Sus scrofa: one gene and its partners. The protein of the gene in region 3 binds, or shares a complex with, the protein of the main gene of each other region. Links are inferred from orthologs where the notes say so. Each region holds a gene or a part of one and is shown on either strand. Other genes may lie near its edges. The genes, in order: STK24, STRN, STRIP1, STK26, STK25, STRN4 and STRN3.

What was found.
Region 1: STRIP1 (region 3) and STK24 share a complex: the UniProt entries of both Homo sapiens proteins name them as parts of the core of STRIPAK complex. The link is inferred for Sus scrofa from reciprocal best matches to the Homo sapiens genes STRIP1 and STK24.
Region 2: STRIP1 (region 3) and STRN share a complex: the UniProt entries of both Homo sapiens proteins name them as parts of the core of STRIPAK complex. The link is inferred for Sus scrofa from reciprocal best matches to the Homo sapiens genes STRIP1 and STRN.
Region 4: STRIP1 (region 3) and STK26 share a complex: the UniProt entries of both Homo sapiens proteins name them as parts of the core of STRIPAK complex. The link is inferred for Sus scrofa from reciprocal best matches to the Homo sapiens genes STRIP1 and STK26.
Region 5: STRIP1 (region 3) and STK25 share a complex: the UniProt entries of both Homo sapiens proteins name them as parts of the core of STRIPAK complex. The link is inferred for Sus scrofa from reciprocal best matches to the Homo sapiens genes STRIP1 and STK25.
Region 6: STRIP1 (region 3) and STRN4 share a complex: the UniProt entries of both Homo sapiens proteins name them as parts of the core of STRIPAK complex. The link is inferred for Sus scrofa from reciprocal best matches to the Homo sapiens genes STRIP1 and STRN4.
Region 7: the proteins of STRIP1 (region 3) and STRN3 are in contact, whole or in part, in a cryo-EM structure (PDB 7K36), measured with the Homo sapiens proteins. The link is inferred for Sus scrofa from reciprocal best matches to the Homo sapiens genes STRIP1 and STRN3. Residues at the interface, in NP_149079.2 of Homo sapiens: Arg441, Ile445, Tyr447, Leu449, Thr455, Val456, Val457, Gly458, Leu459, Arg491, Ser492, Pro493, Leu494, Ser495, Phe792, Leu793, Pro794, Val795, Asn797, Cys798, Leu799, Val802; in NP_001077362.1 of Homo sapiens: Thr64, Pro66, Gly67, Leu69, His70, Tyr71, Gln73, His74, Val88, Glu89, Ala91, Glu92, Ala95, Arg96, Phe99, Leu100, Glu103, Gly106, Gln107, Leu110, Asp113, Leu114.

What each region holds. Positions count from the first base shown.
Region 1 is NC_010453.5:67,475,143-67,478,642, reverse strand, and holds part of STK24 (serine/threonine-protein kinase 24), read left to right. Parts: intron 1-1,101; coding exon 1,102-1,210; intron 1,211-1,474; coding exon 1,475-1,632; intron 1,633-3,500. UniProt on the Homo sapiens protein: Serine/threonine-protein kinase that acts on both serine and threonine residues and promotes apoptosis in response to stress stimuli and caspase activation.
Region 2 is NC_010445.4:103,301,826-103,305,325, reverse strand, and holds part of STRN (striatin), read right to left. Parts: intron 2,456-3,500; coding exon 2,377-2,455; intron 238-2,376; coding exon 70-237; intron 1-69. UniProt on the Homo sapiens protein: Calmodulin-binding scaffolding protein which is the center of the striatin-interacting phosphatase and kinase (STRIPAK) complexes.
Region 3 is NC_010446.5:110,067,518-110,071,017, forward strand, and holds part of STRIP1 (striatin-interacting protein 1), read right to left. Parts: intron 2,288-3,500; coding exon 2,216-2,287; intron 1,737-2,215; coding exon 1,662-1,736; intron 1,471-1,661; coding exon 1,373-1,470; intron 88-1,372; coding exon 1-87. UniProt on the Homo sapiens protein: Plays a role in the regulation of cell morphology and cytoskeletal organization. Required in the cortical actin filament dynamics and cell shape. Part of the striatin-interacting phosphatase and kinase (STRIPAK) complexes.
Region 4 is NC_010461.5:108,178,023-108,182,029, reverse strand, and holds the start of STK26 (serine/threonine-protein kinase 26), read right to left. Parts: upstream 2,801-4,007; 5' UTR 2,722-2,800; intron 2,620-2,721; 5' UTR 2,511-2,619; coding exon 2,469-2,510; intron 1-2,468. UniProt on the Homo sapiens protein: Serine/threonine-protein kinase that acts as a mediator of cell growth. Modulates apoptosis. In association with STK24 negatively regulates Golgi reorientation in polarized cell migration upon RHO activation.
Region 5 is NC_010457.5:140,151,511-140,155,592, forward strand, and holds the start of STK25 (serine/threonine-protein kinase 25), read right to left. Parts: upstream 2,801-4,082; 5' UTR 2,714-2,800; exon of another isoform or gene 2,653-2,713; intron 2,187-2,652; 5' UTR 2,116-2,186; coding exon of another isoform or gene 2,065-2,115; 5' UTR 1-2,064. UniProt on the Homo sapiens protein: Oxidant stress-activated serine/threonine kinase that may play a role in the response to environmental stress.
Region 6 is NC_010448.4:52,610,911-52,614,410, forward strand, and holds part of STRN4 (striatin-4), read right to left. Parts: intron 3,001-3,500; coding exon 2,859-3,000; intron 1-2,858. UniProt on the Homo sapiens protein: Calmodulin-binding scaffolding protein which is the center of the striatin-interacting phosphatase and kinase (STRIPAK) complexes.
Region 7 is NC_010449.5:68,550,897-68,554,396, reverse strand, and holds part of STRN3 (striatin-3), read right to left. Parts: intron 2,351-3,500; coding exon 2,210-2,350; intron 1-2,209. UniProt on the Homo sapiens protein: Calmodulin-binding scaffolding protein which is the center of the striatin-interacting phosphatase and kinase (STRIPAK) complexes.

The DNA of each region.
Region 1 (3,500 bases), on a different chromosome or scaffold from region 3:
AAAATAGAATGTGTACATGTATGTGTAACTGGGTCACCTTGCTGTACAGTAGGAAATTGACAAAACACTGCAAACCAACTATAATGGAAAAAAAAAAATCAGTATATTAAAAAAAAAATCTGGTTCTCGAAAACTAACACCTGTGTTCTAGGATGAGAGAGCCAGAAGCTAACGCGTCTCAGAAGCTCTTCCTCCTGAATCGAAACTCTTCCCTGGACCATTCGGGGCACTTTCAAAAAAAAAACAAAACAAAACAAACAAACAAAAAAACCCATGAAATTCTCATTTTAAGAAACTGTGGTAAAATACACACAAAACTTACCCTGCATGACCTTTAGTGTATTCACGGTGTGCATTCATCGCTCCCATCTAGGTCTAGAACTTTCCATCACCCAAAAGGAATCCAACTAGGAACCATGACGTTGTGGGTTCGATCCCTGGCCTTGCTCAGTGGGTTAAGGGATCCGGCATTGCCGTGAGCTGTGGTGTTAGGTCGCAGACCTGGCTTGGATCCCAAGTTGCTGTGGCTCTGGCGTAGGCTGGTGGCAATAGCTCTGATTAGACCCCTAGCCTGGGAACCTCCATATGCTGTGGGTGCAGCCTTAAAAAGCACCAAAAAAAAAAGAAAGAAAATTCAGATTTAAAAATTTCTGGTGCCGGGTAGCCTCAGAAAACAGCTCTTGGACTTTCTCCATTTAACCACCCGTTAGTTACCACGCTAGGGCGGAGCCCGGCTGCCCTGTGCCCTCCCCAGCAGATGCTGCAAGGGGCCCTGCTTCTGCTCTCCGGGCTAGCGGCCCCCCCCCCCACCCCGCCCCAGCTCTGCTCACAGACACATCGGGCTGACCACGGCCTGTCTCACCAGCCCGGCTTGGACGCTCAGTCGGCTTTGCTTCTTTCATCAAAGTCATTTTCTCTGGTTCTCTGGGGATTTTTTTTAGGGTCTTTTAAATAGATTTTAATTGTTTGGGCAAAATGTTTTGGAGTGCAAGAGCTTTCAGATTTTGATTATTGTTGTCCATTTAACATTGACTTTGTTCTATTCTCTCAGACTTTTCTTCTAATCATTTAAGTAACCTGAATCCTTTTTTTTCTTGTCAGTTAGAACCTGGCCCTTTAGATGAAACTCAGATTGCTACCATATTAAGAGAAATACTGAAAGGACTTGATTATTTGCATTCAGAGAAGAAAATCCACAGAGACATTAAAGGTAAAAGAACACAGCTTGTTTGTGTCCCTTTGAAATGCCGAAGGCGAAGGTGGGTGGGAATGGTCGTCTTACCTGCGCTGCTCTCTCAAGGGTTGTCGTCCTGAGGGCGGTCTGCGATTGCGAGGGGAGGGGGCGCCCCGCGGGGGTCTAACTGAAAGCAGTTCTTGTCCAGCAGTGGTGTCGCTGTGCACACGCTCCCCCCGTGCTGGAGATGGAACTTCCGGCACATGATGTCAGGGGGCGTCTTTGGCTTTATTTTTGCAGCTGCCAATGTCCTGCTGTCTGAACACGGGGAGGTGAAGCTGGCCGACTTTGGCGTGGCAGGCCAGCTGACCGACACCCAGATAAAGAGAAACACCTTCGTGGGCACCCCTTTCTGGATGGCGCCCGAAGTCATCAAGCAGTCAGCCTACGACTCAAAGGTGAGGACGAGAGTTCCCTTGTGGCTCAGTGGGTTAAGAACCTGACATAGTGTCTGTAAGAATGCAGGTTTGCTTCCTGGCCTCAACTCGGTGGGTTAAGCATCCGGCATTGCTGCAAGCTGTGGTGTAGATCGCAGATGCGGCTCGGATCCCGTGTTGCTATGGCTGTGGCACAGGCCGGCAGTTGCAGCTCTGATTCGACCCCTAACCCGGGAACTCCCATGGGCCACGGGTGTGTGTGTGGCTGTTAAAAAAAAGAAGAAGAAATGTGCGGTCAGGAGCCTCAGCTGGCTGGGTCTGGGAGTGGTCCTCTGGACTTGAACTTCAGGGCTTGTCCTGGTGGGGGAAGCCAGGGCCTTGTCGTAGGTCACGAGGGCAGTTCGTGGGCTACGGTTAGAAACAGGGTTCTTCTGTCTGCTGCCGTCTCCGGCACCCCTTTATGCAACCAGCCCCCCGTTCCAGTGTCTGAAGGAGGGACACGGAGGAGCAGCGGGTGGAGGCCGGGGGACGGGGTGGCCCGGCCGGTGGGGGTGTCCAGCAGAGGCATGTGGGGGCGCGGGGAGGCCAGGAGGAGGGGATGGGGCAGAGGGCCTCAGCAGGACCCTGGCCAGGCACAGGCAGGGTCCCTCGGGAGAGGCGGCGTCCACAGAACACCAGGCAGACCCTTCCTGTCGGCCAGTGTAGCGCCCAGTTGGGATCGTCATTCTCAGAGGCTCTGTGCCGACTTGAGGCCAAATCGTGATTCTTTTCCCAGCCTCTTCCTCCTGTCGTGTTGTACGCTCCCATTTCTCCTGTGTTCTTGCCTCCGTTGCCTGTCAGCGTTCTTAAGCTTTTTGGTATAAACTTGAAAAGCCCGCGAACCCGCCTCCCGCAGGCCGCTCTCGGCGCGGGACGGCGGGAGGATCCCCACGGCCCCAGAGAACAGGCTTCTCCAAACCAGGGCTTGTAAGCAAACCTCTGACTCGGTGTGCTGACAGCCGAGCATCATTTCTGCTCTCGAAGAGGAAATCTCCTTACCTGGCAGGTTCCCACCTTGTTAAATGTAGCATGCGGAGCACAGGTAGGTTTTCCTGGGCACCCGAGGTCGGCGTGTGAGCTGATGGCGCTGGTGGCCTGGCCCCCTCATGTTGAGGTGTGGGGACAGCAGCGTGTCTGGCCTGGGCCTGCCTTGCCCCGTGGGGTGGCTCTCCCCGTAGCTACTTCCAATTGTGGCAGCCACGGGCCCCTCCTTCCCTGGGGTTGTGTCATTTTAGGGTGTGACAGGGGCTCATGTGTTTGGTCCACTCTGTTTTAAGCTGAGGCCCATGTGTCTGAGTTCCGGCATCTGGATTTTGGCTGGGCTGTGACGGGACCCCAGGAGTCGTCCCTCATCTGATGGCAGCCGCACTGAGGCCGCTCCTCCATTCTGGTCACTTAGCTGATCCGCCACCGCCGCTGCAGCGCAGCACTCAGATGCTGGGTTTTCAGCGACACTCATCCCTTGCTCAGGAACGGTCCCCGAGGCCTCCCCAGCCCCGCTGGGGCCTCTCCGGGTGTCCGCCCAAGGCGGCCTCTGAGCAGCAGAGCCTCCTCTGCACCTTCCCCAGCTGTGGTCAGGACCACATGCGCTCCCGTGTGGCGGGTAACGGTGCCTCCTCTGCACCTTCCCCCGCTGTGGTCCGGACCACAGCGCTCCCGTGTGGCGGGTAACGGTGCGGCCTTCCTTTTAGGTCGATGGCAAGACGCGTCTCAAACGGGGCAGGGTGCAGCTCGGGTGGGCAGCTTGAGGAAACGCATCATGTTGCTTGTTCACCCTCAAGTCCATTACCTTGAACTCTGGCTCACGGCAAAAGCTAGTGATTCACTGGCTTGGGTCAGACACAGCAGCT
Region 2 (3,500 bases), on a different chromosome or scaffold from region 3:
ACTCATAAGCCAAAAATATTTATAAGAACCAAAACTACAGCTAAACCACTTTCTAGACAAAATACTTACCCAATCATTGCTGTCTCTTTAACTTCAGCCTCCGTGCCATTTATAACTGAGTCTTGATTTTTGTCATCTTCCCTGTCAGTGACATCACTGGAAAAGCCCAACAAAGCTCGCACTCGTTTGGATTTCACATCTAGAATGGTATCTGTGTAACCCACCTCCTGCAGGTACCTGTGTGTGAAGAGGATCTTTAAAATTCAGTCTTATTGGAATCAGTATTCTACTACTGAATATCTTAATTTAAAAAATTCATTGCCTGCATAAGACTAAACAGAACAGTACTATGCTAGTAAGACTTGCTAATAAATAATCTTCCAGCTGCAGACAGAGCTGTCTCTTGCAGTACCAGCCTCTACGGTCACTGAGAAAAATCAAAGAACTATACAATCAATACACCATTCATTTATCATAAGAAGAAGCTATTCCTTAATATACCTAATAACACATTCTTTCTTCTGGGCAGAGCTGGAGTAAACTCACTCTCAGATTCTGAATTACTATTTCATAATAGTAATTACTATAACCAGTAGTCCTTTTATACTTCCGATGTTAAAGTATCACTGGATCAACTGAGATCTGAGAATTTCTAACACACATAGTTTCCTCCATAACATACAAAACATATTCCAAAGAGTCACTTCTACAGAAGGGCAGCTTCTATCCTGAGACAATTCTAAAATAAAAATAGACCACAATTCAATAGTGGGATGTGGGCTGAGTGGGTGCACAGGGGTGTGTGTGCTGCAGAAAGGCAGCAGCACAGAAGACAGAGAATATAGAGAGTCAGACCAAGGTTTAAAGCCCATTTTTTTCCACTTTCCTCCTATGTAACTTTAATTCTTTCTCATAAAAGAGACAAACCTAGTACAGTGCCTGGCACATAGAAGGCACTCGGTATTAATTAACAATAAAGATGTCCAAAAAAGACCAAAAGGGGTAGTGGCGAGAATATGAAAAAGACAAATGTCACTAATAATGTCATTAATAAACATGATAGATAAATGTCAGGCATTAACTTATAAGTAAGCATCACATCTATGAGATGAAAAGGAAAACAAAGATCAAAAAAATAACCAGTCTAAGGGTCAGTTTATTCTAAGATCTGGTATTAACAGTTGTTATAGCTCAAAGAGATACCTCCCAAAGACATGTGACCAAAATGGAGTAAGTGTATCCTACCAAATGAAGGTACTCATTTTTCAATCCTATTCAATATCTATAAAGGCTTTGATTAAAATTTGGGTAATAAATTTTCTAATGTTCCTGAATTTAATTAGTTGGTTCTTTCAAAGTTATTACGCTTTTCTATTTTTTAACAAATAATATTTGATACACAACTCACTTTGGTAACAAAATCACATTACAGATTACTGTTTCAAAAACTGTTCTTTCCTAAGGTCTTACTAAATAATACTTCCTCATTCATTAATAAAATGTCACCTTTGAGAAGCAGGTTACCAATCTTTTAAAAATACTTCTTAGATTGCTCACTATGATAACTACTTGACATTAAAAAAAAAAAAAGATCAGCACTTTAAAGACACTTATTTATAAAAGGAAAATGCACAATCATATTTAAGACCAAAATTAAAACCTACTAGTTAAATAGTAATGAAGTCTCATTTTCTTCTAGCTTTGATTAGATAAAAAAACAGATGTAAGAAGTTATTTTAATATTCTTTTCCCATTATCAAAAGGTATGGCTGGCATACCATCCACTTTGGAAATCATAAGCTTAGACTATCCACAAACAACCCAAAAGTCCAAACCAGACAGCAAATTTCATTTTACTGAGGTACAAATCAAAATAACATTTTCAAATGTGCTACGCAAGGGTCAAGCATTAAGCAGATAAGTGGGTCTAGCCCACTTCCCAATATCCGTACCTCAGCCTAGCCTTGCTCCTACTTTATACCCTCAAATTCACGTTTTATAGGAGGGAGTATACGTTAGCACAGTATTTGTAAATCTGGGAAATCCAGAAGTTCTTCCATCTACTTAAAAGTTTAAAAACATAACACAAAAATTACATGTTTAGACTTATATTAAAACCTGTATATTTATGTATAAAAGGTACAAAGAGTAACTTTAAGGACAAAAAATTCTTTAAAATATAAATTTAAGCAAAAAATATAATTTAGAACCTTTAAGTTGTGTTCTTTTTGATAAAGTTAAAATTATGGAAAGTGAATTTCTTAACTCTTATTAAAATTTAATAATAAATTCTACTATAGTGGAAAAAGTGCTTATGAAAAAAGAACATAATTTAATGAAGCTTTTTCACAGCAGATACTTTCAGGACATACTTACTGTCTGAGTAGCTGTCGACCTTGCTTCCACATTAACTGACTGTTTTGTTGTGGTTGCACCTCTGTTTCATTACCTTCATCTGGAAAACATTAAATAATAAAACTGGTGTTAAACACACTAGAGGACATCTAAATTCATTTAAAAAAAAAAGGTCCAATAAAAATCTATAAGATTAAGAGTTCCCTGTTGGTGTAGTGGCTAAGGATTTGGTATTTTCACTGCTATGGTTCAGGTTCCATCCCAAACCCAGGAATTCCCACATGCCACAGGCAAGCCAACAACAAAAAAATTATAAGATTAAAAACACTGTACTGTAAGGTACATTTTAGGACAATGTAAACATGTTTTTAAGTTTAATTTCTGTAACAAAACTCTAACATAAATTCATTACTGCTCTAAAATAAAGACTTTTTTCCTATTTTTAGTAATCTGAGAATTTTCCTCCAGGACTAACTGAGTCACACAAGAGTCAAATAAATGTACTATGAAGCACTACATCAGAATTAGAACAAAATACCTAGGAATGATGGCTTTAAAAAAAAAAAAAAGCCAGTCTGGTAAAAGAGTAGATAAGAAATAACCCCAATCCAAATGAATTTCCTTCACTAGTTATTAAATGAAAACACCAAGCATTATTTTTTAAGACATTCTTTAAATGAAAACCTCCCAGGCCCTGTAAAGCTTAAATTTAAAACACTCGGGAGAAGCCAAATCCTTCAAAAATACGTAAAATAAAAAGAGAGTCTTCTTTCGGTAAGTCTGGACTTAAGAATTTCCATACTAGAGCATGCCTCGACTTTAAAAACATAAAAGAAGTTCACACTTTCCATCAGCCCATGATGGAAACTGTGGTCTTTATAGGGTTTTTATTCCAGTGGAAATATGAGAAACTGGGAAATTCTGTTTTATGATATTTTATATTAAATATTTAATGCATTCTAGATGCTGTGTTAAAAACACATAATTGGGAGTTCCCGTTGTGGCACAGCAGTGACAAACCCGAATAGTATCCATGAGGATGGGGGTTTGATCTCTGGCCTCCCTCAGTGGGTTAAGTATCCGGTGTTGCTGTGAGTTGTGGTGTCGGTCACAGACGCAGCTCAAATCCCACATTGCTGTGACTG
Region 3 (3,500 bases):
AGTAGGACGGCAGAAATGGCCTTAACAATGACCTCTTTGTGGCGGTTCACATCCACCCCCAGCTTCATGCTCTGCAACACTGTGGTACTGGAAGCACAGTTGTGGGTGAGCCCCCAAGCGCAGCACTGCCTCTCCTCTCCGGGTGCTCCCAGGAGAGACAGGATTCCCAAGCCTTCTCTGGGCCAGGCACCCACCTCACTGCTCCCCCACTGCGGACATCTGAGAGGTCGGGCCCTGTTCCTCCCACCCACTACCCAATCTAGCTCAGCACAATTTTCTTCCTTCTATGACGGCTCCCATACATTCGTAGTATATTTCTCTGCTTTTCCTCCAAAAATGAACTTCTCACTTCAAAACCTTCCCTAAGCTTCTGCCACCATAGGAACTTGTGTTCCTTGGAGCGTGTTCTGTGAATTGCCAGTGTACTGAGATGTTTCATATCATGGGAAAATGGGCTTTGGAATCAGAAAAGTTGTGGAAGCATTGAGCTAAATCAGCTTCTTAATTTAGGAGTTGCCACTGGAAATCTTTCTAAGAGGAGGTATAGCATCTGGCTCTGGAATCCTTTTCCTAAGGCCCATCCTGATGGCCTGGTGGTCTATGTAGTCCCTCTGGGGTTGGCCGATGCCTGCTCCCCCCCCCCCCATTATCTGGCTATCACCACCAGACCCAAGGGGCCCAGCCAGCAGGGAGCTGGGCTCAGAGCTAGGCGGTACTGGCAGGCAGGTGGATCAGGTCAAGGCCCAGGTCCTTCTCAAAGCAGAACGTGATCCCGGTTTGTACTCTCGTGTGAAAAAGATGGGGGCAATGCCCCAGGGAGGAAGAACTCCTAAGGATGTCACTATCACCCTGAGACATTCAAAAATATTCTGCATGCCAGGGCTTCCCTTGTGGTTCAGCAAGTTAGACCTAGTGTTACTGCAGTGGCCTGGGTCCCTGCTATGGCTTGGGTTCCATCCCTGGCCTGGGAACTTCCATGTGCTAAAACTATACATCCTGGATGTCCCACAATCACATACTTTTGAGAAACATTTGGGGAAATGTCAAACACAGCCCAATTCATTTTACAGAGGAGGAAGTGACTTTGCCCAATTCACTCAGTGTTCGCTCAGGGGCAGAGTCTACACTAGAATCCAGGCCAACTGGATTAAGCCATTTTCCCAAGCAGTATAATTAAATATTTCACCTAGAACATTTTCTTTCTTCTGAGCCAGGAATATCCTAAACCCAACCTGCAGAGAAGTTGAACCCAAACACTAACGACAGACAACCTAGCAAACAGTGGGACTGAAAGGAAGCCGTTTCCCCTTCCCCTCTGCCCTTCTGCCCCTGACCTGCTCCATCCCCCAGATACTCAAGGCTTGACACTCACGGCATCTCCTCAGGCAGGACATCTGCTAGGATGTTGATGGAGTCTGTCTTGGCCTTTGAGGTGGGAGCTGCAGCCAGCAGGATCTTTAGCAGCGCAATCTGGGGAGAAGCAGACCATTCAGACAGCATGGGTGGGAGGGCCCAGGGGCAGGACTAGGCCCGGAGAGGTGGTCCTTCCCGAGGCACTCGGGTGGCTGAAGGAGGGGCCAAGGGCATGGCCGCCTGCTCTCAGGGCCAGTGCAGTGGGGAGGGTGGCCCGTGGCAGGTGCCTACGGAGGAGGAGCACTCACCATGTACTGCGGCAGGCTGGGGAGCAAGCCTTGGTAGAGAGTTTCCGCGGGAACTTGCTCCACCTCCTCTTCTCCCTTCCAACACAAGGGGTACAGTGGGGACAAACCCAGAGCCTGGTTCTGAGGATGCTCTCCCGGGCCAGTGTGCTAGCTGGCTGGAGGAGACTGTACATGTGGATGATGGGAGTAAATGATGCTGCTGCTAATGATGGTGAACCTTTAAGACAACGTGCCAGGCACCTGACTTGTAAGAGGACATTTCATCATGACAATTCTATGAAAAAGGTGCTACTGTCATTCCATTTTAACAGGCAGGACAAGAAAGCAGAGAGAGATCTAGTACCTCGCTAGGTCGCCACCCATGGAGCCGGGATTCAGAAGGAGGGGGCTGGCCTGGAGTCCGTGCGCTAAGCCCTGTGCCTGACACACGGCACCCCTGCAGCGGGAGCTGGACAGGGAGCTTTCTGAGGGCAGGCCTGGTGCTCTGCGGTCTTGGCCCAGCACAGTGCTGGGAACGGCTGAACCCTGTGGGCTGAGGAGGGCCCCCAACTCACCCCTGAGAGAGGAGAGCGAAGGTACTCCTCCTCCATCTGTGCCTGGACCTCTGCAATCGACGTGTACTTGTGCTGGAGGGAGAGAGGGGAGGAGGCACTGGGGAAACACCCCCCATTCTCTGGCCAAACACCCACCCCTGGCAAAGACCCCACGCAACTTTCTTCAAACACCGTCTTCTCAAAGACTGTTAAGTCACCACACAGATCACAAACTAGGATCCCCAATCCAAAATATTTTTCCAGGAGTTCCCATTGTGGCTCAGTGGTTAACGAATCCGACTAGAAATGATGAGGTTGCGGGTTTGATTCCCGGCCTTGCTCAATGGGTTAAGGATCCGGCATTGCCGTGAGCTGTGGTGTAGGTTGCAGATGTGGCTCGGATCCCGAGTTGCTTTGTCTCTGGCATAGGCCAGTGGCTACAGCTCCAATTCGACCCCTAGCCTGGGAACCTCCATATGCCACAGGAAGCGGCCCTAGAAAAGGCAAAAAGACAAAAAACAAGCCAACAAACAAAAATATATTTTTCCAAGTGGGCACCTACCTCTTAACACCAGTGCAAAAAAGCACACAATAGATTCGGGAAAAACGCAAATTCAAGGAGAGAAGGGGGCTTTCAGATAGCTATCATGAAATTAAGGGGGAAAACTTACAAGCAGAATCAAGCACCCATGTACTCAAGGATCAAGTACTCAAGTCCTCAAAAAGCCTAGCTGCCTGCGGCGCACTTACACTACAAATGTCAAAAGTACACTGCAAAAGCCTATCAGCATTCGCACCCCAGACATGCTGTCAGAGGAGACAGCTCTTTCCCACCTGTGATGCTTCTGCATTCCTGGAGGGACCCGCACGTACAAAACCCTCAGGTCTCCCTGTCTGCACCCCCACCACACATGCACACACTCACTCCTCCCCTCGCTGCCCAGTGGGTATGGGAGGAGGAACAAGACAGTCTCAGCACAACCTCTTTCTCTTCTTTCTTAAGAAAAGAAAAGCCTGTGCCCTCTTCTGCTCCTTGACCAGGCTTAGCAGGGTGCCAGCGCTGCGGGCCCTGGACAGGTGAACTGGCCTAATTCTGGAAGGGAGGTATCGGACACCCACTGGGGTTGTGCTCTTAGGCCTCATTCTCCACTCACTCTATTGGCAACAGAGCTGGTGTTTCAATCCCCATCCGCCTACTCCTTGAACCCAATTGCCTTGGAACCTGGGCCAGGAAAGGGAGGCTATTTACTAGACCCCTTAAAATTCCAACTGTCAGGTACTATAATCTTTAATAAAACACCAGTAA
Region 4 (4,007 bases), on a different chromosome or scaffold from region 3:
TTCATAAGTCTCTAAAATAAACTGTTAAAAAGTTATAGGCCGGTCGACCACTTCGCCCTGATCTGTGGAAATACTATACATTAATTTCAAGCACACATGGCTACGTTCAGTTTTCTTACTACTGGAACGGTCTGAAAGTTGCTCCTAACTTGCTAACAAAACTCCAGGAGAATTTTACAAGCTCATCATATATTTCTGCATCTCATCTGCAATCTTTTTCAACAAAAGAATAGTCAACGTGATCAAGGCTCAAGAGTCACACTGCATGCCATCAAATTTATTTTTAGGGTACTCCACAATTTTAACTGTGGAAAACTTTTTGGGTTGCACCCAATGCTTAAGAACCACATCTACAAAGAAAATGGAAATCAGATGTTACGAATTTACCATTTCATTAAGACAGGGAAAGTGACAAATAAATATTCCTCTCTTTTCCTGCTAATATCCAGATGCCTGCCCTCCCCAAATCAGGGTGGACACAGGAGTCACAACGTGGGGCAAGGCATCAAGTGACAGGCAGAATTCGTAATTTAAAAATATGTGATTCACATTCTAAACCACCTTAATTAAGGGTGCAAAATTCAGCTGATAGGGACCTCAAGATAATGAAACAAAGCAGGGAGCCGAAAGAAATACTGAGCAGCAAGCAGTTCCTAAACCATATAAATCAAATGAGGACAAATCAAATAAGGACCAGAAACCATAGAAATCAAATAAAGTCAAGACAAATGAAATAAAGACCAGAAACCGTTTTCTCCCCCGCACACCAGAGTTCCCCAGGATCACAAACTTGATCAAAGGGAGGCCCTCGCTCTGCTGACGCAGGCAGCGCGTGCACACAATGGCCTGAGCAGGCACGGGGACCCTCAGGGACAAACCTGACATCCGTAAAGTTCACAGAATGGAAAGGAGAGCATGGTGGGAAAACGTTCGAACTTTCTCCCACATGAGACAGAGCAAAACTGTAGTTAGTCCTGCAAACTACTAATTCTCTGGGTACAATCAAAGGCAGACTGAATGAATGGGGTGAGGGGCTGGGGGTGGGGGGGGAGAGGGAGGGAAGGGGGGGTGGCCTGAGAAGAAGGAAGTTTGAGGCGTTTGGTAAAACTTGAATGGATTAACCTTTTCAAAGGCCCCAATAGTTCTCATTTCCCTTCTTCTTCCTCTCTCTCTCTCTTATTTATTTTTTGTTTTTATTAAATACACACCGACTTCCTGGGACTCAACCCAGACGTGCCCTATATTCAGCTAAAAGGCCTGGTGCCTAGACACACAGGAGTCCCAGGCTAGATCTATGTCCGACACAAATGGTCCTTTGGGGGGGGGAGAGAAAGTATTTTAAAAAGCACTTTTTGGACCATGCATAAAATGCGACCAATTGTTTTTTTTTTTTTTAAAAAGATACATTCCTTGCATCAATTGGTAATTTGAGGCCCCAATCCACAGCACTTTGATTTCTACTAGAACCATAAGCTATTTACCAAACATTCTTTTCTGAACTTGGAAAAAGGTTGTCCTCACATTTTTAGAAGATAATGAGGCTGTCGATGCTAGTCTCCGACCGATTCATAAACGGGTTGTTTATGAAAAAAAAGAAAATTCGAATGCGTAAAAGTAAGCTTGGATTACATTTAGCAGAGAGCTTGAAATGCACCGATTTAAAAAGATAAAATAGCGTGAAAAGCGTACGGACATCGCTGACTTCTTTAATAAAGTGAAAATATAAGGGGAGGCTGGGTAGCTCTCGAGTGAAAAGTTGGGTCCCCTGCCCTGTCTAGGACAAAAAGTTTCCTTTAACCACACTGTAACAGTCGTGCTGTGGGAACCGCAGAGGGAGGGAGCGGGGGAGTCATCACCTCCGCTCTGCTAACAGAGGACCCTGCATTTCTCACGCCACACGAGGGGCTGGGCCAGGTGGGGGGAGCGAGATACAACTTAAGCAGCAGCACCAAAAGGGGAAAAGAAGTCACCTCTCTTCGCCCTACGCACACAGGAAGAGCCTAATTCAAAGCCGCCACCACCGACACCCCTGGTCTTGCTCCGCCCCAACTCGTGTGTTTGTGTGTGTGTGTATGTCCGGGGGGGGGGGGCAGCACGACCTGCGTTTTATGCCCAAATTCCGAGACGCCTCCATCTCTCCCACGTGAAGTCCTCCCACCTCCGACCCCCAAGCGCATCACGCTCAGCCAGCGCAGGTGTCCGGCTCCGGCCTATTTTTATAGCCCCCCGCCGCATCCCCACCTCGCCGCGCGCCCCGGTCCCTCCGCGCGCGCCTGCCCCGCGCAGTGCACCACCTAGCTTGCGCGCCGGGAAACACTTAGACCCTCTTTCCCCGTCACCTGGCCGGAGCGACCGGCCCGGCTTCGAGGCAGCCCTGGGCCGCCTGTCCTCGCCGGTGCCCAGCGTGGAGTGCACCCTGGGCTCCCGGGCAGTCACGTGGACGGCGGGGGAGGCCCGGGCGTCCTCACCTGCATCCCCGGCACTTGGACCGCCACCGGTGAGTGGGCCATGAAGGCGAAAGCTGCTCCGCGCGGCTTCGGCGGCGGTGGCGCCTTGGGCTCCGACTGGCTCCTCCTCCGGGGGTAGGTCGGCGGCCCTCCCAGGCTTTTCGACCCGGGCCTGGAAGGACACACACAAGTGGGGTTACGGGGCGGGTAGCGCGCGCGGCCCGGGGCTGGGAGGTGGGCGGTCCGCGGCGCGGCTCCCCGGGACTCAGTCTACCTTTCTGGTGCCCGCCCGCCGCTGTGGCCGCCGCCTCCGCTGCCGCTCCTCTTCCTGAACGCCGGGCGCCGTGTGTGGCGGTGGCCGGGACCTGGGCTCGAGTGATGCCGCTCGTCTGCGCCTCGCCGCTTTAGGAAGAGGAGGTGGAGGCGCCCCAGCCACCCGCTCGCTGGCCGGGCCCGGGAGGCGGTTGGGGGCGGTTCCGCCGCTGGCCCTGCCCCCGCCCCGCTGCCGGGCGGTGTCAGGAGAGCTAGGGCTCCGCGCTGGGAAGGGGCTCGGCTGGGGTTGCTGGAGCCTGAGCCGAGGGAGACTCTCCCGGCCGGCGGAGAGGAGAAGCCGGGCACGGAGGGGCCTGGAACATTGGTCGGCCTGGAGAGAGAAAGGAAGAGTTCGGGTGACCCTTGGGGTACGAGGGCGTCCCGGACGCGGCCACGTTGCAGGCGGGCGTGCGAGGGCTGGGGCGCACGCCGCCTCGGAGAAGTCCTGAGTTGAAACTTGGCGAGTGTTGGAAGTCCTTCCGGACTCTCCGATCTGCTCGAGGCCGGGGGGTGCAGAGAGCCGCCGAGTCGCTGGACCCCAGCTCTTAACCCGAGGTCTGGGCTCCCCAGTTTGGGGCCGCGCCTCTGGGCGGGTCGGTAGCCACCCTCCGGCTTTCCGGGTTCCCCGCCCCCAGACAAGCTTCAGGTGACTTAGAAGTGAGGCTTCCCCTACCTTTTGGGCTCTCGGTTGGACAGGGGTGCGAGGCTGTGGGAGAGGGCGACCAGGCCTGGGCACAAGGTCAGTTCTGCACGTGTAAGAGAGAGGGAAATTGGAAAACAGGTGGTACATGGGCAGAGAAATGAATGAGGGTAATAGAGGCATGTGAAACGAGTTTGGGTCCTTAGCAGTACGTAGTATTATTGAACTCAGTGCTTTTGGCAGCCCCCTGCCTCCATCCCACTTGACGTGCCAGTCCAGCAGGGAGACAAGCTCTTTTGCGAATACCCGAGCAACAACAACAATAATAATAATAGCAATTAAGTAACCTCATTATGAAGGCACCTTTGGGAACCCACAAGGGGTTGTCATATGTAATATCTAAGTGTCAGTTTAAAATGAGGATGAAATTTTGTGCCCAACACAGTGTTGGGGCTCTGGGAGGCAATACGTATTTCTCTTGTTCCTTTTGAATCTTTCTCCAAAGATAGCGTATTATCGTTATCACTATAGTTATTGTGAGTGGGTGCCATTTTCTTTGTGCCAGGGACCGCTAAGTGCTATATAGGTGTTACTTCACTGAATCTTTA
Region 5 (4,082 bases), on a different chromosome or scaffold from region 3:
CCCCAACGGCTTGACGAGAGGCACACCCAGCTGGGTGCCCAGACCTCCACGGCTCCTGAGGGAACTGGGCAGACCCCTGGACCAGGGGCTCCAGACTCAGCAGTGGGGGGAGCTCTGGTCCCAACGTCACACTTTTTGGGTCCCCACTGCTGTGGGTCAGTCTCCTGAGCAGACAGCATGACGGGAGCGCTCCTGGCTGTGACCCTGACCCTACAGGCACATCACAGGGACACCTGCGGCCAGAGCTGGTGGAAGGAAGGAAGGACAACTGCTCCCGAGCTGGCCTTGCACTCCCCTTCCAGAGACGGGCGTGGTTCAGACAAGGGCTCAGGCTGCTGGCAGTCCAGACCCTTGTCCTCTGGTCAGCCCTGGGCATGCGAGGTCAGTGGCCACTACCAGGCAGTATGTCTGCTGGTCATATCGCCCCACAAAATGAGGGGTGCCCAACGGCCCCCAACCACCCCACGATGGGTGGCAGCCAATGAGCTTCCTGCAGCCAGCCAGACCCTGCGGGCAGGGTAGGAACAAGGAACCAGCCGGGCAGAGGCCAGGAGTGGAGGGCCCCCTGCGGGCCGTGGGGGAGCTCACCGCACTGCCCCACACAGGGACCGCCTCGCAGGGCCACAGTGACAACCCTCGCAAGAGAAAACAATGTCCTGTCAGGCTTCCTGCCACTGACAAAGGCCAAGTCTCTCCGCCCCAGAGGACAAAAGGGGCTTCCTTCCTTCAGGGTCCCTTCCTCAGCTCCTCTGGGCTGTGCTCCCTTCCCTGGGCATCTGGTCTGGACACCCAAGCCAAGCCCCTAGTGCCACCAGCACACAGGGACAGGGTGGCTCAGCTCCAACTTCCTATTCCAGGACCCGCGGGACCCATTTCTACAGCTCTTAAAAATAGCTGAAGCCAGGTTTTTCTCCCAGCTTCTCCGTCATGTAATTTACAAGACACGAGATGTCAAAGATGAATGAAAGACCTGCCAGCGGGCTTCAGCATCAGCAGAAGTGCCAGTGCCCACCTGTGGCACGGCTAGTCCAGGATGCCCTGCCCGGCGGCAGCACGTGGCAGGTTTCTGCGAGGAAGCCTGTTGGGTGTGGAGCCGATCCTGACCCCAGCCCCTCCCCCGCCCCGTGGATACACACTTCCTGCTCCCCTGGCGCCCAGGCCTCGCGGACTCAGCCTGGGGACTCAGCCTTACACCCGAGGACGCTGCCTTACACCTTTCAGCAGGCGGCCGAGGAAAACAAAGCCAAGCAGTGGCCACAGGAAAACCTGGCTACCAGAGCCAGAGCGGCACACTCCACGTCCTACCAGCTGCAGATCACACCTGCTTCCCAATAACAGACAAGAGGAAAGTACAAACCATGTGCCACACAACCCAGGGTGCGCTTTGGAGGGTCCCCCGGAATCAGCCAGTTACCGCTCAAGGCCAGACACCCCCAGATGGCTTTTGCTGTTGGCAATCCCAAGACCCAGTCCCCCAAAGAGAAAGGCAGTGGGTGTCTTCCCAAGGAGCACCTGTGGCCCGGGAGCAGCCCTCTCATCCTCTCCTGTGCTCTGCTCTCCCCGCGCACAGACTCGAGAGCTGCGTCAGCACAGCCCCTGCCCAGCACAACACGGCCTGTGTCCCCGCCCAGGCTGCGGCCCCAGCGTGGACCCTGACCTTGCAGGTCTCTCCAGGTGCAGATTCATGCTCGGCAGGATTCCCACCAGAGCCAGCGGCCCCTGCCCTGTTCCCACCACAGGGCTCTGCACAGCCTCTGCTGCCCCTGCACTGGGGCTCTATTTTGCCAAGCTTGTGGGCTTCTGCCCCACACAACTGGGCAAGCTGGCCAAGCTGAGTCGCCCCTGCGCTCACCAAGTCTGAGCGCCTCGAGACTGCTCCCCGCTTCGCCCACGACGCGCTCCGCAGGACTCCCCCGCGCCTCCCTTCACCCCACGCTCGCCCTCGGAGGGACCGCTCCTCTGAAACCTCAGGATGACAGTCCTGGAGGAAGCGCCCTTGCTTAGCCTCTGCAGTCGGTGCTCCGGTAAACACACACACCCCTCTCCCCGGATGCCAACCCTTACCTGGTTGGCAAAGCCCCTGAGGTGAGCCATGTCTGCGCCGCCCTCCACCATCCGCTGCAACCTCGGGAGGCCCCGAGATCCTGCCTGGAGGCTCCGGAGCCCGGCCCACTCGCTTCAGGCAACTGGAGGGAGAGCAGGCCTGCTCGGTTCGAGGCACGCGGGGCTCCCTGCCGCCCTGGGGACCGGCGGGCCGGCCCGCCCCGGGGGCGGGCTGGAGTCACAGGGCCCCTCCGCTAAAGGCCCCCACCGCCGCGCTCTCCTCATCGCCCCGCTACGGCCCGACGCCTCCCTGAGGAGCTCCCCAACACGGGGCATCCCTCGGCGGCCCTCACACTTCCACCCGCAGCCTTGCTCCTTCTTTAGACCCCTTACCCCGGCCAGGACCCCCGCCGGGACCCCCGCCCCAACCCCGCCCCCGGTGCCCTCGCCCCCCCCCGGCGCCCCCCCCCGGGTCCCCCTACCGCCGAGCTCCGCCTCCAGTGCCCTCCTCGCCGGCCCCCTCGGGGCCCTCCCCCTGCCTCACTCCCCGCACCGCCCAGCCCCCTCCCCAACCGCCCCAGGCGCGGGCCAGCCCGGCAGCGCGCCCACCTCCGGGGGCTCCATCCCGGCCTCCCCCGGCCCGCTCCGCAGTGCCCACGAAGGCTCCCACCCGCAGCCTCCGCTCGCCCAGGGACGCCTGGGCCCTCCAGCCCGCGAAGCAGCGGCAGTGGCGGCGGCGGCCGGAGAAAGCCCGGCGGCGGCGTCAGCGACGGCCCGGGCGGCACGGTGTCGTGGCCCGGCGCGGAGCTCTCTGGGACACCGAGTCCCTCGTTCGCCCTGGGTCGGGGCGCACGCAGACCCTGGACTACAAGTCCCGGCAGGCCATGGGGCGGAGTGGTGTAGCGGCCCGCAAGCGTGCCGCGGTGCCCGCTGGGACTCCGAGTCCGGCTTCCTGAGAAGCTTGGGCCTACGTCTCCCGCCAGGCCGCGGTGCTGGGCGGGGCCTGTGGGGCTGGGGCGGGGCCAGGCGGGGCCCGCCCGGCGGCCGTGGGGTTGGGGCGCCCCCACCTTTCAGCTCTGCGGTCGCCCCCCCCCCCCGCCCCGCCTTCCGTCCTCCGGCTCCCCTTCCGAGGGCCTGGGCTCAAGACTCCAATTCTATCTTTCAGGCCTCTTGCAGCCGCCCGCGTGTCGGGGAGGAACGAATGGGTCCCCAGATGCGGTCCAGACGTGCCCGGGGGTAGGAGGGCAGTGCTGACTCGGGCCATTGCAGGGACCAACCGCCAAGACGGTGGCTAAACGAAATAAGCTAGTCCCAAAAGGACAAGCAGTGCTTGGACCCACCTGTGTGAGGTGCCTGGAGTCCTGAAGACAGAAAGGCGACAGGCGGGTGCCAGGGGCAGGGGCGGGCGCTGGGAAGTGAGTGTTTAATGGGGACAGAGCTTCAGTTTGGGAAGGTGAAAAGAATTCTGGAGATAATTGTACAGCACTGCCCAACTGAATGCTTTAAGGTGTAAGCTATCACAATTCAAAATACGTAAAATTAAAAAGGCATTGTTTTTTGTTATATGCCACAACGTGGATGAAAACGTTATGCCAAGGGAAATAAGCCAGTCGCAAAGAGACAAATACCGTGTGATGCGGCTTCGATGACCTCTCAAGACTGGATCAGTTCAGGAGGCAGAGGTGCTTGAGATTTCCTGGGGCTGGAGGAAGAGAGAAGGGATACACCACAGGGTACAGGGTTTCCATCGGGAGTGGAGACCAAGCTCTGCGATGGCCCCACAACGCTGTGAACGTGCTTGACGTCAGTGACCTGTACACTTAAAATAGTCTCCGTGTGTGCTCTGTGTGATTTACATTTTACCAAAACATTTACAAGGATGCAGCTGTAAAGCAATGATAAATTTGATTTCATCGAATGTTTTAAATTTCGATTTCAGAAAGGCATTGTTAAGAGAATGAAAGGACAGTTCCCTCCTCGGGCGTTAAGGAGCCGGTGTCATCACTGCTGTGGTTCTGGTTACAGCTGTGGTGTGGGTT
Region 6 (3,500 bases), on a different chromosome or scaffold from region 3:
CGTGATTTCACAACCCCATGAATAGTTATCATTATTATAATTTCTTTCGTCTTTTTGAGGCCACACCCATGGCATATGGAGGTTCCCAGGCTAGGAGGAGAATCAGAGATACAGCTGCCGGCCTACACCACAGCCAGAGCAACACAGGATCCTTAATCTACCGAGTGAGGCCAGGGACTGAACCGGCATCCTCATGGGTACTAGTCAGATTTGTTACCCTGAGCCACATCGGGAACTCCCATTATGGTAATCACTGGTCCCATATTACAGATGAGGAAACGGAGGCTGAACAGAGTGCAGCCCTTGCCCCAGGTCGCAAGGTCCAAGCCATTTCTTTTAAGACGGCTCTTGGGTGTGTGATTACCTGAGGTTCTTCGCATCTTCCTTATAACTTTCTAAATGGGCTAAATTTTATACACATATATATATATATAAAACACGCAGGAGCTACTTTTAGAACTAGAGAAAACACCTTCGTTCCTCTTTTTTTTTTTGTCTTTTCAGGGCCGCACCCGTGCCATATGGACATTCCCAGGCTAGGGTCGAATCAGAGCTATAGCCGCCGGCCTACACCACAGCCACAGCAACTCGGGATCCGTGCCGCATCTGTGACCTACACCACAGCTCACGGCAACGCCAGATCCTTAACCCAATGAGCAAGGCCAGGGACCGAACCCGCAACCTCATGGTTTCTAGTCAGATTTGTTAACCACTGCGCCACGACGGGAACTCCTCGTTCCTCCATTCTGAGAACCAGAATGCTGGTGGGTTTGCCCGTTTCACACAGTCGGTCTTAACCAGGGGTAAGAGCTAAATCATCCTGTTTTCCTCACTTCACGAGCCTGGCCCCCCACCCAGACTTATGAATTTAGGAGCAGCACGGCTCCTGCGCTCCCCACACAGACACCTCGGGTACACGGCCTCGTGAAATGATGCTCTGCGTGTGATTCTCCACCCTCGGGTGGCTTCAGCATCACTCCACTGCACAAAGCGCCATCCGGAGCTGCACACTTGGCACTTCGAAGACTGCACTTGTGCACTTACATGCCTTAAGGGAGTTCCAGAATTTTCAAAGACAGTTTTGATATCTGAGTTCTGCTCTAAGTGCTGGCTTAAGACATAGAGCACCTCGGCACCAGGATTCTGAGGCCTCCGGGCCGGCTCCTCCAGGAAGCCTTCTCCCTCCTGGTGTTCCCTGCCTGGGCCCAGCCTCCATCAGATGGTGGGTTCCTCTAGGGTGGGCTGACCCTCACCCCGAGCTGGGTCTAGAGGGTATGAACATGGAGGCAGCCCGCTCGGGCATCCTGAAGGGCCAGCCCCGCACAGGACTGCCTTCCTCTGCCTTTCTGGGAGAAGACCTGGGGTCAAGGTCCAGACAGCACGCCCAGGGAAGCAACGGTGGGGGTTGGAGCTCTACATGCGGGTGGAACCACACCGGGCGCTCTGAAGGGCCTGCCCACACCACAGGAGCTGTCGGTGGCACCCCACTGCTGAGCCCTGGTGTGGCAGCTTCCGTGCAGCCAAGGGCTTTCTATGCATGCACTCATTTTAGTTAATTCCTTGACAGCCCAGGGACTATGAGCCCCTGAGACGGAAACTGAGACAAAGAGAATCGTGTGCCCAAAGGTACATAGCCAGGCCGGCGGGCACTCTGGGAGCCACAGGCAGGTCATGAGGCCCTGGGGAAGCAGGAGACCCCCGACAGGGCCCGTGGGACAAGACGCCGTGACTGAGGCAAAGGCCTGAGGGAGAACGCAGTCATTTTCAACGGGAGGAGCCGAGAGGAGGAAAGACTGCGCAGCGGAGGTTGCGGTGAGACCCGACAAGCGGGTGAAATCCCAACAGGGGGTTGGGGGGGGGCAGGGTGCTGGACCAGGGAGTTGAGAGACCCCCGCTTTTCCTATAACCCCCAGTTCCAGAGTCTGGCTCCACACAGTCCTGTCCCCTCAGTGTGTTCACTGAGCGCCTAATCTGCATGGGACCCTGTGCTGAGCCACACTGGGGACACTGGACACAGAGCAAAGGCTGGGAAGGACAGACCGATGAGGGAGGAGGGAGACAGAGCTGGCATGAGACGGGGGCGCCTGCCTGTGTGGGCCACTGGCCACAAGCCCCTCCACCTCAGGACCAGACCAAGTCTCCATATTCGTGCCGCCGGCACAGAGCTCGGCCATGAAGCTGCTGGTCACTGGACAGACGAGGCCAGACCCTGCCCAAGAACGGCGCCATCAGAATGGTGGGAGCTGGGTGGCTTTCCGAGCCCAGGAGTGGGGCTGAAGGGTGGAGGCAGCCATATCTCAAGGCCATGCTGAGGAGCACCCAACTCTACCCTGTGGGCAGTATCCCCAGACCTGGGTCTTGACAGCGACAGCAGACTGGACGACGAAGTCCTGGACAGGACCCCCCCCCCCCGCCCGCCTCCAGGCTGAGCCCTGGGCCCGGCCACGTTCCCTCAGGGAGCTGGGGAGAAGAGCAGAGGGTCGCACAGTCCCTGCCTCGTGGAGCTCAGCACCCACTGCGGGAGACAGAGCCAGAGTCACACCCAAAATGTCTAAGCACGGCTGCGGTAGGGCTGGCCCAAAGTGGGGAGCACTGTGAGAGGGCGTGGCGGGGGCTGGCCCAGCCTGGAGGGCGAGAAGGGGGTGCAGCGGAAGAAGGGGCCAGCTCCAAGAGAAAAGACCCAGGCGGCCCCAAAGGTCACGGAGGCCACAGCACAGGGGACTCTGCTCCAGGCAGGGATATGATGAAACCACAGAGGCAGCCTGAGGGCGCCCACAGAGGTGCTCTGCTCTGGGGCTCGAAGCAGGGGTCCTCTTGCAGAAAGGGGGAGGGAGGGCCCACTGGGCTCACGAGCTCACCTTCACCCGCTGCTTCTTGTGCTGCACGCTGTCCAGCTCGTCGTCCTCGTCACTGTCCTCATCCTCGCAGTTCTGCAGGAAGGGGATCTGCTCCAGCACTGAGCCACCCAGGCGCTCTTTGCCATCTTTGCCGGCTGCGTTCCTGCCCAGGATGGGGGGCAGAGGAAGTGTTAGTCCTGCCCAGTGACAAAGCTGTTCAGGTGGGAGAGCGCCGGGACTCGGGTCGTGCCCTGGGCCTCAAGCCCAGCCTCTGAACCCTCGCTGGGACCACAGACCGGGCCCAGCTCCTCATTGAGCTCCGAGCCCCGAGTTCTAGGGAACTAGCCCCCAGCCCGCCCACAGGGCCCCACACGTGCTGAGTGAGGAGAGCTGGATGGGAAAGTGGCCCCGATTCCCACAGCCCAGTCAAACCGTGAGCCCAGGGCAGGCGAGGGGCAGGGACACAGCCAGCAGGAAGAAAGGGGAAGTGGTCACTCCACGAACCCCCAGCCCTTCCAGCCCGCTCCCCTCTCCACCTCTGGGACACTGTTCAAAGGCTCCAACGGGATGACAAGTTTTAGCAAAGGAGGTATTTGCCGAACCTGACTCCAGGGCAGACAGGAGGGCAGAGTTCAAAGTTGAGATATGTGCAAACATTGTCCT
Region 7 (3,500 bases), on a different chromosome or scaffold from region 3:
ATGTGGTATTGCTGCAAGCTGTGGTGTAGGTGGAAGATGAGGCTGCTGGGATCCTGCGTTACTATGGCTGTGGCATAGGCCGGCAGCTACACCTTTGATTGGACCCCTAGCTTGGGTACCTCCATATGCTGTGGGTGCAGCCCTAATAAATAAATTAAAAAAAATTATTTCAAGAAGCAGCTTTTAATGATGAAAATTACATACCTTTTATTAGACAGCATAAAAGATTTCATCGAGCAATTTAAGATTACTATTATCATATCAGATTCCCCTTTATGGAAATCTTAGATTTCCAGAGTCCAGACTGAAATTTACAACATCCTTTTCATATTTTTCTTTAACTAATCCTCCGTTTTATGGACACTAGTGACCAAGGAAACCTGTAGCTCATATATCAAATTCTTCCTTTCTCCTTCAATTTTATCAAATCTAAAGAAAGAACACAGCTTAAAAACGGATTCTACTCATGTTAGTGGCAACACTGTATATCTTAAATCTTTACTAAAAACAGTCTGAAAGGTTGTAATGCCTAAGTTTCTCTCCTTGAGAACATAAGTTTTTTTCTTTATAAAATGCACTATGACAAGGCCTTCAACAGGAATGCATAAAAGTTGGAGGTGACCACTAAAAATAAGAGATTATGAATGCTAATGTTCTCTTCTTAGCACTAATCAAAGTTGAAATTAATCTTTTTTTAGTAACAAATTATTTAAGATTTAGCCTTTGAAAAGTGTGATAGTGCATATGCTTTCCTTCCTCCTCCACTATTAATAGATCACTGACTTAATTTTTTTTGTTTAAAAAGCACAATTACACATAAACATACATACAGGTTCTAAATGTACCACAAGTCTTGTCTGGCTGTTTCCAGAAGTCCCTGCTTTGAAGCATTTAAACTTATCTGTAATCCCTGATAATATGGCTTTGAATTGGGCTGCAAAATCTGCAGTTTAAATGTACAGTGTTAACTATAAAAAATTTTAGCAACTTTTTTCTATGTATTATTTGGTAAAGTAGAGCAAAAGCTTTAAAAAGCTTAGCCATTACTAAATGCATGAAATGAAAAATAATCAGGTTGGTATATTCATTTTAGAAAATACTTCCTTAAGTAAAATAGGAAAATAGCTTAACAGTGGAAAAGAGGTCTAGGAAAAACCAACAGACTATTTTACTTTTCCTGTTGCTTTTCATGCTTTAATATGTTTTGTTTTGGTTTTATTATTTTAGCGATTTTCTTTATCCTTCCTCAAACCTAGAGGATTATAGTAAGTGGCAAGGGCATGCAGAGATTACTACAAAGAAAAAAAAAAGCAAAATTATTTAACTTTAAGGAAAAATATGCAGGTAGAGAACTCTTAGAAGAGCATATAAGGTGTATTCAAAGAGTTCTGACAGGACATCAAATTACCCAAAGCAAAAGCAGTAATATCAATGAAATGCAAATTATATGCCAAATTATTAATGAATTATCTTTTACATTTGTATCATATATCAAAATAAACTTTTGGTAACAATTCAGTCTCATTACTTAGAATTTTAATTATCTAGACCTAGAATTATATACTATTCAAGTATATCTACATATCTTCAGCTAAAATCAATTTTGGAAAAAATGCCTAAGTAGTACTTTCATTTTCTGCACATTTCTAGTTTAAGCAAATTTTAGAAAATTCACTAACGAGTAGTATATACTAGTACCAAGTTTAAGAATTATATGTTGCCTTATTCTAAAATATTAGATTAGGCAATTGTTACATGTATTTTCAGAAATAATATATAAAGTTCTAAGCACAATGTCTGGTACTTAGCTGTCTCCTTATAAGTGACAGTTATTATTAGTTGTTAAAATTTAGCAATATGACAAAATGACTAAATAGTTCTTTTCCATATGTACCCAAGTCTTCTTAAACTATTTTCCTGCTACTACATATGTAAACTAAAGTCCCAGTTCAGAAAGGTACTCTGAAATGACCTGTAATAGAAATAAGTCCACCTAATATCAAAACAAGAAAATTATAAAGACATATAAGCCAAAAATTTCAAAATCCCTAAGACAATTACACCAAGAGCTTGCCCAACACCTTCTCTGAAGATCATAAAAGCTGATTTTCAGCATTTTAAAACAGCAGCAAATACAATATTTAAGGAGATGTGATTTGGAATTAATGTCTTCTACAATGTAAATAAACACAGTAGCTAAATTCTGTACCTTCCTCTGCTCTTGCACCTTCATGATCAGTCATTCTAGTAGAGGCTGACCTAGACTGATTTATGATTCCTGAAGGGATGTGGGGCAGCTCATCATCTCCCAGATCAGCTATCATGTCGTAGAGTTTTGTCCTGTTGACCCCTGTAAATTAATGTCAGCAGTAGAGATTCATTTAACGGCTACCGCTTGACTTGCTAGCAGCCTTTAAAACCAATCTACTAACAAAAGAGGCCATTTTTAAGAAGTTTCAGTTGTAAAAATCTCAGAAAATCAAAGATGTCTTCAATTTTCCACACCACCCCCCAAAAAAATATTGAAAAGATTTAAATATTTAAGATATTGACTATTTTTGTGGAGATATATATAATAGAGTCATCTGTCACTCAAAGTTCTGTAAGCTCAAAGATACAGATGGTACCATTCAAACAAAAAACTTTGGTGTTTAACATTTAACAGTGTAAAGACTAAAATGAGTTTTCCCAACTTAATTATTTTTAAAAAGTTAACAAACAAGCACAAATGATTTTTATGAGGGTGCAACAAACAATTAACTTTCCCTGGTGTTTATGTGGATGTTTTCCTGCCACATTCATACAACTCTGTCATGAACAAATCACTCAATTCCCCTCAACATGCTTTTTTCATTTTTTACAAATTTAAAAACTGATTTACCTATGAGCTTGCTCATTTTCTCACTATAGTATGAAAAGTCAACACTGTCACAGGCCATAATTACTGGGAGAATTTCTGCTGTTACCTAGATTAATTTAGGCCAAAATATGGCCAACTCTGTAGCATCCACAGTACTGTGGGATCTCTTGTTTTAACTATGAATTTCAGAAGTGACAGGATCTTGTTTCAACTATGAACTTCAGAAGTGACAGGAGAATCATTTCTCTTGTGTGTTTCGAAAGAAAACAGTTTTAAGGTGAAAAGACAAAAGAAAATGCTTTGAAGTCTATGTAAAGTAAAAACAATTAAAACAGGCAAATCCAAGGCCACACATTATGACCATATTTACTAATGTCTATATTAATGGACTAGACTATGTAATGACTAAACTTCACTATGGCTATTAGAATATTAGAAATTCTATAGAGACTATCACTCATCTGTGCATCCCTAACAGAATACCAAGTAGCAAGATTGTTGGACTATACGGAAATAGGTGGGACCTTACACATTTACTAACTCTATTTCATAGTAATCCCTAACTTCTTGGAAAGGCTTAAGCACTCCACTTCTGGATGCAACATGTCAAGTAGTCTGAATTTTCTAAAACAATTATAAT